Arabidopsis thaliana: one gene and its partner. The protein of the gene in region 2 interacts with the protein of the main gene of each other region in a pairwise test. Each region holds a gene or a part of one and is shown on either strand. Other genes may lie near its edges.

Region 1 (6,348 bases), on a different chromosome or scaffold from region 2:
TAAACAGCATCCGGACAAACATAAAAAAACTGAAAACCAAGAGGTAAAGAAAATGCATAGTTCGCTAACTCATCCGCTAGACTATTAGTTTCCCTATACTTGTGAGAAATCCGGACTATCTAGTCCTTTGATATAAAGCCATAGCACATGCGTATTAGGAAGGACAGCGGGTGAGATTCACTTATCCCTGTCCGAAGAAACCCAACAACAACCTCCGAGTCCACCTCTAACTCTAATCGGGATACTTTACACTCCCAGGCCATGAATAACCCGTAGTATACACCCCATAACTCAGCAAGAGGTGTTGAGCATATCCCGATATTAATTGCAAACCCTCTGCGCCATTCCCCATTGCTCTCCTGTAAGACCCCTCCTGCCGCCGCTAATCCGGGATTGCCTCTTGACGCTCCGTCTGTATTCAGCGTGCACCAACCTTCACTTGGTCTACTCCATGAGATTAGTCTATCTTCTCTGCCCACTAATCTCCGAGACACTCCTACCACCGCATGTGCTTTAATAACTTCCCGAGCTAGGTCCATATAAAAAATGTTTGGTTTTCTTAGGTATCCATATATTATTTTTATGATTTTCTCGAATTGAACTCAGAAAAAATGAAAAAAAATTGAAACCAAATTTATTTAGCAGTACCGATGAAAACATTGCATATTTGGTTTTAAAGTTTTATCTTTGGGTTATAAACTTTTTTCTTTGGTTTGGTATAACATCAGTTTATTTCACACCTGATCATAAATTAAGTGCAATTAATTGGAAATTGGAATACCTATTTTTCTTTGTTCGACATTTAGAAGAAACTGAAGAACACTTACATTAACATTACAAATACAAACCCTACCACTCCCTTGTTTGGTTAGTACTAGCAGTTTACTTAAACAACAAGAAACAACTACAACATTTAAGGTTATATGGCTCATATCTCCTTAAGAGCCTTCAACACATCAAGCATGTTAGGGCGCTTAGCTGGCGTTTCAGCAAGACAAAGCATAGCTATCTGAAGCAGACGAAGCTGAGAGTTCTTCAAAGCCACAGATACGAGCAGTGGATCAATAACATCCACAGCTTTCCCTTGGTTGATCTTCTGAATCGCCCAACCAACCAAGTTCCCTCCTTCACTCTCCTTAAAGTCTGGACCGGTTGGCTCTTTCCCTGTGACAAGCTCCAATAGTATCACGCCAAAGCTATAGACATCTCCTTTGGTTGTGGCTCGGGCACTCTGACCATACTCCGGTGGGATATACCCGAAAGTCCCTGCTATGACTGTACTAACATGGGATTCACAGGCACTAATTAGTCTTGCTAGCCCAAAATCCGCCACCTTTGGTTCAAAATCACCATCTAACAGAATGTTGCTCGCTTTGATGTCCCTGTGTATAATGTGAGGGATGAAACCGTGATGTAGGAAAGCTAGACCTCTTGCAGCTCCAACTGCGATTTTGAGGCGTTTTGACCAGTCCAGAACCTCTAGCATCCCAGTTTGGTTCCTTAACCAGTGATCTAAGCTTCCATTTACCATATACTCATATACCAGAAGCTTCTCTTCACTGAAAGAGCAATATCCAAGCAAAGACACAAGATTCGGATGCTTCACTTTCCCTAGAGTCTCCATCTCTGCCATGAATTCTCGGTTTCCCTGCGTTTTGGCTTCACTTAGCTTCTTCACCGCTACTGTTTTCTCACCTGGTAAACAAGCTTTGTAAACCGTCCCAAAACCACCGTCTCCTATAATGTTCTTCTTAGAGAAATGATCTGTAGCCTCGACAATATCTCCTAAACGCACCTTCAGAAGCGGCTGCTCGAACATTGCTATATTGATGCTTAAAGGCTCCCTTGATCTGCTTCCACTTAAGAAATACAGGTTCTGATCAACAAACCCTTTCAATCTGCTTTCCTCCATTCGCTCTGGATCATCTCTTTGCTTCACTCTCTTTGTCATAGCCCATCTGCGCAGAGAGAAAACAAACACAAAAACGATGATCGTAAAGCCAAGCATGAGTCCTGCAATCCCCCAAGCACTCCTCAACTTAGTTCCCTCGATCTTGCAATCTGATCCAACCACTCTGCCACACAACTCTTTGTTCCCTGAAAGCAATGCCTTGGAAGGATCCTGACAAACACCATCACTCGGCACCTCTCCTCGCAGATTGTTCTTGGCTAGATTCAAGAACTCCAGATTGGGCAATCCACAGATCTTTGTTGGTATCTCTCCAGATAACAAGTTCTCAGAAACATCAAGGTACTCCAGCTGCGTAAGATTACCAAGTTCTGAAGGTATTTCCCCGGTGAACTTATTCTGCTCAATGTAGAGGCCGACAAGTTTTTCCATTGTAGACAGTTCTGATGAAAGCTCGCCACTTAGGTTGTTAAAGCTCAAGTCCATGTGTGTAAGCTCTTTCAAGTTCCCAAGAGAAGCAGGAACCGGTCCATCAAGCTTGTTCTTAGTCAAGTTTAGCTTCACCAAGCTACCTAACAAGCCAAAGCTTTCTGGAATATGGCCATTGAGCTGATTATTCGCCAAGTTTAATCCCTGCAACTTAAGAGAGTTGCCCATCTCCTTTGGAATAGATCCAGTCAGTGCATTTCCAGATAGATCCAGGATTGTGAGGTTGGTCAAACGAGAGAGTGAAGCTGGAATCTCTCCAGAGAGATGGTTGTTGCTCAGTGAAATCTCTACCAATACCAAACACTCGCCAAGTTCTTCTGGTATAGGGCCAGACAATCTATTGTAGGAGAGATCAAATATCCCATGGTGCTGAAGAAAGCTGAGATCAGGCATCTCAATCTGATGGAAATAAGCAGAGGGTTTTGATGGAATTGACCCGGAGAGATTGTTGTAAGAGAGAACCAGGCACTGAAGCTGAGCGAGAGCAGTGATTTTGTCTGGAATCTGTCCTTGAAGATTGTTGCTGCCTAGATCCAATGTAGTCAAAGAAGTACAATCACCGAGCTCAACTGGTATCTTCCCTTGAAACATGTTTGCATTCAGATTCAAGACAGACAAAGATGTGAGTTTTCCAATCTCTCTTGGGATTTCACCTGTTAACTGATTATCACTGAGAACCAACCGCTTCAGTGAAGCTGCATTACCAATCTCTGCAGGCAAATAACCTTCTAGACGATTATAAGAAGCTGTAAACTCCATCAAGTTCGTTGATTTCCAGAGACTCTTTGGGATTTCTCCTGTGAAGTTGTTGGAATCCAAGTCAAGTGCCATCAATGGAAGCTTCCAAAGATCCTCAGGAATAGAGCCATTGATCTGATTATTAGTAAGTAACAACTCTCCAAGAGAGGAACATCCATCAAAGACCTCCTCAATTGTTCCAGAAAGCAAATTCCCAGAGAGATCAATCGCCTCCAACGAACCTGAACCACAGAGCTCCCTAGGAATCGAACCACTTAACAAGTTGCTAGCTAGACTGAGATGTTTCAACATTGGACAATCCTCAATCTCATGAGGGATTTCACCTGAAAACCGATTGTTAGCTAACAGAAGTGAGTCCAGTACCTTCCATTTCCCCATCCATGAAGGCAATGAACCCGAAAGCTGATTCCTTTCAGCAGAAAACGTCAACAGAGGAATCTCTGAAAGCTCCAATGGCAAAGGTCCAGAGAGAGAATTGAAAGACAGCATCAGTGACTTGAGGCTTTTACAATTACCAAGCTCTGGTGGGATCAATCCAATAAGCTCTGCGGAGACAAGATTTAGTATACTCAGATTATGCAACTCTCCAAACGATTTGGGAATGGAACACTTGAGTGGATTATAAGAAAGGTCGAGCTTTGCTAAGTGTTTCAGTTTCGAAATCTCCTTTGGTAACGGTCCATTGAAGAAGCAAGAAGGTGCAGCAAAGTTCTTCAGCAACGAGATGTTACCAATCTCCGACGGAATTTGACCGGAAAATGAGTTGAGTCCCATGTAAAGATTGGAGAGGTTACTCAGTTTCCCGATTTCAGGAGGGATTTCGCCGGAGAGAGAGTTGTTGGAGACGTCAAGAGAAGACAGTGCAGGTAAGCTGATGAAGAACGATGGAGGAAGTGAACCGGAGAAGTGGTTGTCACTAAGGTCGAGGTAGAGAAGCTGAGGTAACTCACTGAGTAGCCTCGGGAGAAGTCCGGTGAGAGAATTTCCTGAGAGGTCAAGGGTTTGGAGATGTTTTAGATTCCAAATCTCAGGCGGAATCTTCCCGGAGAATTGATTTCCGGCAAGACAAAGCTCTCTAAGGTTCTTCAAACTCGAAATTTCCTTCGGAATCTGGCCTCTCAGAGACAAAGACGGTAAGGAGAGCGAGTTGACTCGTCCAAGCAGACACGTAACGCCAACCCAATCGCAGTGAGACGCGGAAGACGAAACGTTCCATGAAGAAAGGAGAGATGGGTTTTCTAGTGAGCGCTTGAAGGAGATGAGAGAAGTTGTTTCCGAGCTAAGATCAACAATGGCGGAACTCGAAAAAGAGAAGAAGAGAAACAGGAACAATGCGGTAAGAAACGCCATGTTCTTTTAGAGAAGGAGGAAGAAAACTCGGAGATTTAAAAGAGACGATTTTACAGAGAAAGTTTCAATTTTTACAAGAGCAGAGAAGAGAAATCACGCCATTAAAGAGAAAAAGGAAGGGTTTTTTTTTTAGGCGCGATAAAGATGAAGATGAAGATGAAGAAGAAGAAGAAGAGAGAGAGAAAGAGAAGCACGAAACTCACGTGACGTAATAAGACTTCGTAACGGCAATTTAATATTTCTTATTTTCAAGCTTTGTTTTGTTTGCGTGAATTTTTAAATATACATTTGTGATGATGAATAGTTATATATGGATGAAGGCATGGGTCAGAGTCTTGAGAGAGTACGGCTCGAATCTGCAGGAATCCCAACCACTGTGTACCAGATTAAAGCTGACGGGGTTTGTTTTCTAAATATTCGAAAGTTGTATGGTCAAATTGTAATTTTGAGTTTTTGTTTTGGCTTCTTTATTAAAAAGCTGGTCAAATTAATTGTGTATTTTCATTCATTTAATGTGATATCCGAAGATGCTTCAATCAAAACCAATTATAGATAGATTACAGCTAATCATTTTAGGGGGTGGTTTTATGTTTGGGAATTCTTGCATTTACTTTATAGCAGTAGATTTTGATTTATCTAATCTAACTACATATGTTCAGGCTTTTTTCATTGCGAACAAAAACAGAACAAAATTGTATAGTCATTATTCTTAATTTTTATAGTATACAAGTTAATTTTGCTTTCTTGTTTCGAAGATAATTAAGAAAGGGGGTTAAAATTAAGAAAACAGAGAATGTGGTGGTCCATTGTAAATTAAAAAAATGAGGAGAAAAAAGAGCAGAGTTCCCCCACATGTCTTCTTTCCCCTTTGGGAATGTTTAAGCTTTTTCCCTTTGGGATCTGTTTCCATTTTTCTAATCACATAAAGACTTTACCCCCATTAGATTATTAAACCTAATTAAGTGAATATAGTTGATTATAAGGTTAGTGGACCACTCTTTCTCATAAATTCATTATAGGTTGAACTATATAGAATTATTGATCCATGACATAATAATAAGTTAATAAAAAAAATGGTAATGTAATTGAAATTTAAAGTCATATAGACTAGCTCTGCAAATGAAGATTTCGAAGTAGCAAAGCCAAAAATGGGAATGCTTTTTGAAATTGGCGCATCACTGAAACCAAACCAGTTCGAGTCCAACTAATTGAGTGATAGCTTCATTTGTTTGTTTGTTTTTCGTTTTTTCTTTCTTTTGGATCCAAGAACTAATAAGAGTAAAAGTAGTATTAAGTTATTTGCAGAGGAAGAAAATGACTTGGACTTTGTGTGGTCAGATTTTTCTCATCAAGAGCTATAGAGAATCATTCATTATTACCTTTAGTTTTGTTTGACTTCTTCTAGTTCTTGGGTTGAAAATTATAAGAAAGTCTCAATATTTTCATCTATGTACTATAACAAATGGGTCCAACTAATAAAAATAGAAAGATTTTGCAAAATGACCCCATCATTATGTTGACAATTACAAATCATCATCCATAATTAATAACTTGAGCCTCTCCAAAGTCAAAAACAAACGTTACAAACCTAACAAGAAGACTCTCTGTGTTGTGGCTCATCCCCATTTTAAAAGTAAGAAATGATGGGAGACATATAGATTCTCCTCTTTCTTTCTCTGTACATACAAATAATATGTTTATGATCAAGCATTGATCTCGGAGTTGCATTGGTTCTCTCTGCTACAGCTTCTTCTTCCCCAGAACATACTTGAACAAGTTGTTGTTTTCCCAAGTCTTTGCCCTTCTTCTATCTTCTCCTGTTCAGTTGTTGTTCGAGAAGG
Region 2 (5,371 bases):
GTTTTTTTTCCTTACAAACTTATACCATTCCCATAGCCTTAGCATCTGCCATTGCAGTAACATTAACGATTTCCATGTGAAAAACAACCAATTTTAGCAATAATTTGGGTTGACTTTGTCGAGATCTTGGCTCAATTATATATATTCATACCATTACTATATAAGAACTGATGTCTTGTTTATTTGATGTCAGACGCCTGAGAGGTTTCAAAGTTTTTAAAAAAAAAAATTTTTAAAGAGAAGCGTGTGTGGCTTTAAATAAGGTCAACTAGGAAATGGGAATCATTCAACAAGAAGAAAAATGACAAAATGAAATATGAATGAAGAGGAGGAGGGGGTCGAGAAAGGTTGAGAGAAGCAGACCAAAGCTCTGCAAAACTCTGTTTTATTAATGACACATTGTGCTCTGTCTGTCAAAAGCAATGCCTTCTTTCTAGTGCATTTATTGCCCATTCCCAAACAAAATATACAAATAAGTGTAAGGATGCATGATATAGTTTAAAAAACTATTTGAAATGCTCACATTCTTTTTGAACTTCTCTTTTAAATTTGCAAAAAAAAATTATATTTTTTTGTTCCAAAAACTGCAAGCAAATGTTGATACGAACGAGCCAACTTGTCATTTTATGACCTTGTTTTATCTCTGCCAGTCAAATAACTCTTTCCGTTTTCGCTTTTTTGGCTTACTTCTTACTCTGTTGGTTTGCCTTTTGTTTGGCCTTACTTTCGTTTATAGGAATCGAATTTCAATGTTTTATCTTTCCTGTCGAAATTAAATTGGTCTTTCTAATAAATCTCATTTTTTTCTTTTTCAAAGATTTGTTTATTTAGTGAACAAATTCTTAAGAGAGTTTTTTTCCCCAAGCAATTGAAAATGAATCATGTAATGTTGATTTTTTTGGTGCAAGTTTATATAGTTTGCTAGAAATTTGGCCTTCATACGATATTTGAACATTTTGATATAAGATTTCTATCAGAAGACAGAAGCTACACGATTGATTCAGCCAGAGAAAACAAAAGTTGAACCGAACGATTAAACCCACACACAAAAAAAAACAAATAGAATAAGAATGAAGGAGAAGGAATATAAAAATGGGTACAAGAAAAAACATCATCGTCGCAATCATAAATGCAATTGAAGGCGCGTGGAAAAGAGACTCGTGTGCTTCTGATACTCCCACGTGAGGATGTGACAATTTAATATTACGAATTCAATAATTACCCAATCTTTCTTAATCTGTTAATTTATCTAAGCCAATCATTCATTCCTTTCACACCCGCCACGGTGTCAATCCAAATTTTTTAGAATCACCAAATTACACCTTTACCCTTATATTGTTTTTAATTTGTTTCCGAATTTTACCAACTGTTTCAATAAAACGTACCAACCCATTTCTGGTTGGATACAAGCGGGATTCATTCCTATATAACATTTTTAACGGTATCATTCAATCATACCGGTCCAATTTATTTCTATCATGCTATCTATATAACATTTTCTTACAAAATGTCTTTCTCTATACCTTTTCACATTCGAAACTTCAAAAGTTAATGTGTCAATTTAATTACGCATAACTCGAAAAATGCATTTTAAAACAATTAAAATTAAATTTATCTTAATTTGACGTTATAAAAAAATATTGAATATATTTCCGAGAAATAATAATAAGAGAAAGGACTATAAATACGTCTCTAGTGTGTAATGTGTAACACAGACGAGAGTCCTCAAATCCATTTTCTCTCTCTATCTCTCTTTATCCCTTCGTCTTCTTCCTCGGCGACACCACTTGCAGGCGCTAACTCGACGAAGAAGGAAAAGGTGAGAGAAACTCTCTGAAAACTGTACGGATTTAAACGTATATATGTGTGTATGTATACGAATCTGATGGTTTAGTTTTCTGGATTTTTCTCCATTCTCTGTTGATTCTACTTTTTTTGTTTGTTTGTTTGCTTTGTTTCTCTGTGTTTCACGCTGCACTACGCTCCAGCTTTCTCTTTGTTTTTCAGAACCAGATTGCTTTTTTCCATGAAACTCGATCGAGATTTCTTACTTTTTCCTATTTTTAGTCGCTTTATGATACGATTCATCTGTCGCCTGATTCGCTTCATCTCCTTGGTTTGATTTTAGATTTTCAATTTCTTCTGTTTTTGGTTACGTTTGTGTTCGCTGTGATGAAGTTTTCCCTGAAACTTGTTAAAAGCGATAATGCATTTCGCCGTCGTTTTCTTCGATTTTAGGTTTAAGCTTCTCTCTCTCTCTTTCACTGTACATTGCGCAACAGATTTTTGATTTTGGTCAAAGTTTTTCAAAATTTCTGCAGTAGATTCCTTATATTTCAAATCAGAGAAGCGAGTGATGTTAGGAGCCGCTTAAATCTGGATTTTCCTCTGTTTTATACTGTTCATTGATATGATGGATGCAAGACAAGTCGTGTGATAAGATACTCATAAAGTTTTTTTCGTTCTCTTTCCTCTGGTTTTTACAGATTTTCCGGTGTTAGTCACATCGACGCAGAAGGAACAGAGAAGAAGACGAGAGTCAGCTTCATTATCAACTTTAGTTCTTCGACGTCTACGCACATGAACCGACGGCGACTTTTGGTATCGGCGACACTGCTCTCGTATTTGCTCTACGGCATGGCTCTCGTCTCCGTTGAAGCCTCCGGTGGTACGAAATTCCTTAAATTAAACGTAGATTCACTTGTTTCTTAAACACTCTGTTATGCTTAGGTTAAACTTAGATTCCTTAACCAAATGTTATCTTCTGAGTGTTAATGGTGGAAAATCTCGTGGTTATAGGTGAAAAGCTTAGAGATAATCTGGATTTGACTAAAACGACGACGTCGTCACCGAGCATATCACATCGGAAAATGCTGCTTCTCTCTCCTGGTACTGGTAAGGGGATTTTGATTTTTTTAGACTCCAGTTTTACATTTTACCAAATCGGTGATTGATTCTCTATTGTGTTGATTTTGTTAAATTTGTCTTGGTTCCTCCATTTTCGTTAAGAACCTCGTGAAATGGTGAATTGTTGTTTTGTTTGTTTGTTTGCATCAGAACTTCTCTCTCTGTGGTCTCTCTGTGAATGCACAACTTCCTGATGCGTTTCGTCCTTTTTGTTTTCACAGCGTCGTCAGTCTTTTGCACGTCTGTGTTTTCTTGCCCCTGCTTTTGTTTCTTTGTTCGTTATACTTTTGTGGACCCACTTAAGAGCCTCATGACTTATCTTAAGAGTAAAAACAAATAACATCATCTTAAGATTGTGTGTTTTCAAACGTCGAATTTTACCTTCTGTTGAATCTCTTTCTTCTTATTATGTGTATGAATTAGTAATATATAAATAATTAAAATTAGGAAGATTTAGTTTTGATGACTTGTTGACTATTTACTGGAGAATGCATACATCTGTATAGCAATGCTTAAACAGCTCCCTACTTCATCCAGCTGTCAAATTAATACTAGTATTCTCTTTTTTTCATTTTATACTCCAATATTTTTTTGGTTATTCCATTAAATTTTTACTAGAAAATGTAGTTAGAGAGAACGAGTCTTTAGCATATCCTCTTAGCAATGTAGCTACTAATATACTGAAATTCCTCTGTTTTGATTGTGTGTGTGATTGTTTATATAAAGGAAAAACAGAAAGGAGTGTAGAGCCGGAGAGAATTGGAGAAAAGTGCAAGAGTACGGACATAGTGGTGAACCAAGCAGTAACGGAACCAATGCCTAACGGAATACCAGGCTACATGGTAGAGATAACGAACCAGTGTATGTCTGGATGCATAATTTCGAGGATCCACATCAACTGCGGTTGGTTCAGCTCAGCTAAGTTGATAAACCCAAGAGTCTTCAAGCGTATTCACTACGACGACTGTCTCGTCAACAACGGCAAGCCTTTGCCTTTTGGCTCCACTCTCTCTTTTCACTACGCCAACACTTTCCCTTACCATCTCTCTGTCGCCTTCGTGACATGTGCTTAGGTCGTGGCTTTTTCTTTTAGTTTTTTTTGTTTAGGATGAGATAGTAGAAAGAAACAGAGGGAAATTAAGAGGGTCTTACTAGATACGGAAATATGAGATTAGTCGTATTCATACCATACCATCCACTTTTGTTTTTTGGTTCTCTTGGGATGTGAAACAGTGATAGATAAATGAATATATATCCAAACTCTTTTTTCCCTCTCTGTTAAGCTTTTCTCAATACCTATTGTTGTAGCTGGAAATGGTCAAAACCCCCAGTCTCAGACCGTAGAACTGGCATATTGGGTCATGGAGCCCTTAAGACCACTAAGAGAAATAACCTCGGAAGCAATCTTTGAATTTGAACATGGCTAAGACTTTATCTATAGGAAAAAAAAGAAGAAGATGAAATCCTGTTGATTGAAGAACGAGAATTTCATTCGGACCAGTTGCTTTAAGAATTTCTTACGCTTGGTATCCACATTTCGTTTAGTACGATCCGATTGGTTTACTCATTTTTTAGATTAACCAATTATGGTTTGTTGTATGAGTTTGTACTTCCGTTTTCTCGTGTATCCCTTGGCTTGAATAATATACTGGATGATATCATACAAATTTCAAAATAAAAACAAAAAGAAATTTAATATATTGTTGCGCTTTACATATTAGTATAAATTATTATTTTCGACACTTGTTCAATTTTATAGAATTGAACAGTGGATTGAAGAAATGATGTGGAATGATTTGATTTGTGTTAAAATGACAAATCTTATGTTATTTAAACATGACAATGGATGAATGGATTAATAATTTGAAATAGACAATCAAATCTACTGTTATTGAAAACATTTTAAGTAGTGGATTTGAATTGATTGAGTGACTTTAGGTGAGATTTCTGGGAGTTTTTAAGTTAAAAATATAAATATCCAAATCTCATGGTTTTAAGTGAGATTTGAGAGAATATAAATATCAAAACTCATCAAACTTAAATCACTCTAAATTCATTACTATATTAGTATAGATACATGTTAAAAGATTTTCTCGTGTTATCGCGTGATGAAAATCTCTATCATTTTTTTTATCCTATGAAATTATGATATTTTAAAACCTACTATTACTTTGATCCAAAATTAGATTTTATACTTATATATTTTAATAAAAGTTGTTGAATAAAAAGTTTTTTTTTTAACTTTAATTTTTGATTTACCAATTTAACTAATACAAATATATTATGATAATATTTTATGTTCGGAAACTAATTTAGTAGAGTGAATTAGTCGTTTGACAACATAGATACTTAGATAGTAAAAGTTTAGTATAAAATCGTTGTTGGTGACCAAGAGAAATTTCATATTTAAAAAAATATTCACAATGTGCCCATCGTCATTTCGCTTGATTTTAAGTGTTATATT

Evidence for each region.
Region 1: the proteins of TPD1 (region 2) and EMS1 interact in binary tests that used the Arabidopsis thaliana proteins (3 or more experiments, as listed by UniProt).

Annotation. Positions count from the first base shown.
Region 1 is NC_003076.8:2,283,247-2,289,594, reverse strand, and holds EMS1 (Leucine-rich repeat transmembrane protein kinase), read right to left. Parts: upstream 4,766-6,348; 5' UTR 4,508-4,765; coding exon 929-4,507; 3' UTR 740-928; downstream 1-739. Other genes in the region: XBAT33 (uncharacterized protein), read right to left, coding at 6,211-6,348. UniProt on the Arabidopsis thaliana protein: Receptor with a serine/threonine-protein kinase activity required for the specification of the correct number of male archesporial initials and for the subsequent specification of tapetal and middle cell layer identities.
Region 2 is NC_003075.7:12,835,640-12,841,010, forward strand, and holds TPD1 (tapetum determinant 1), read left to right. Parts: upstream 1-1,713; 5' UTR 1,714-1,819; intron 1,820-2,486; 5' UTR 2,487-2,580; coding exon 2,581-2,668; intron 2,669-2,799; coding exon 2,800-2,895; intron 2,896-3,633; coding exon 3,634-3,980; 3' UTR 3,981-4,591; downstream 4,592-5,371. Other genes in the region: AT4G24973 (Plant self-incompatibility protein S1 family), read left to right, coding at 5,331-5,371.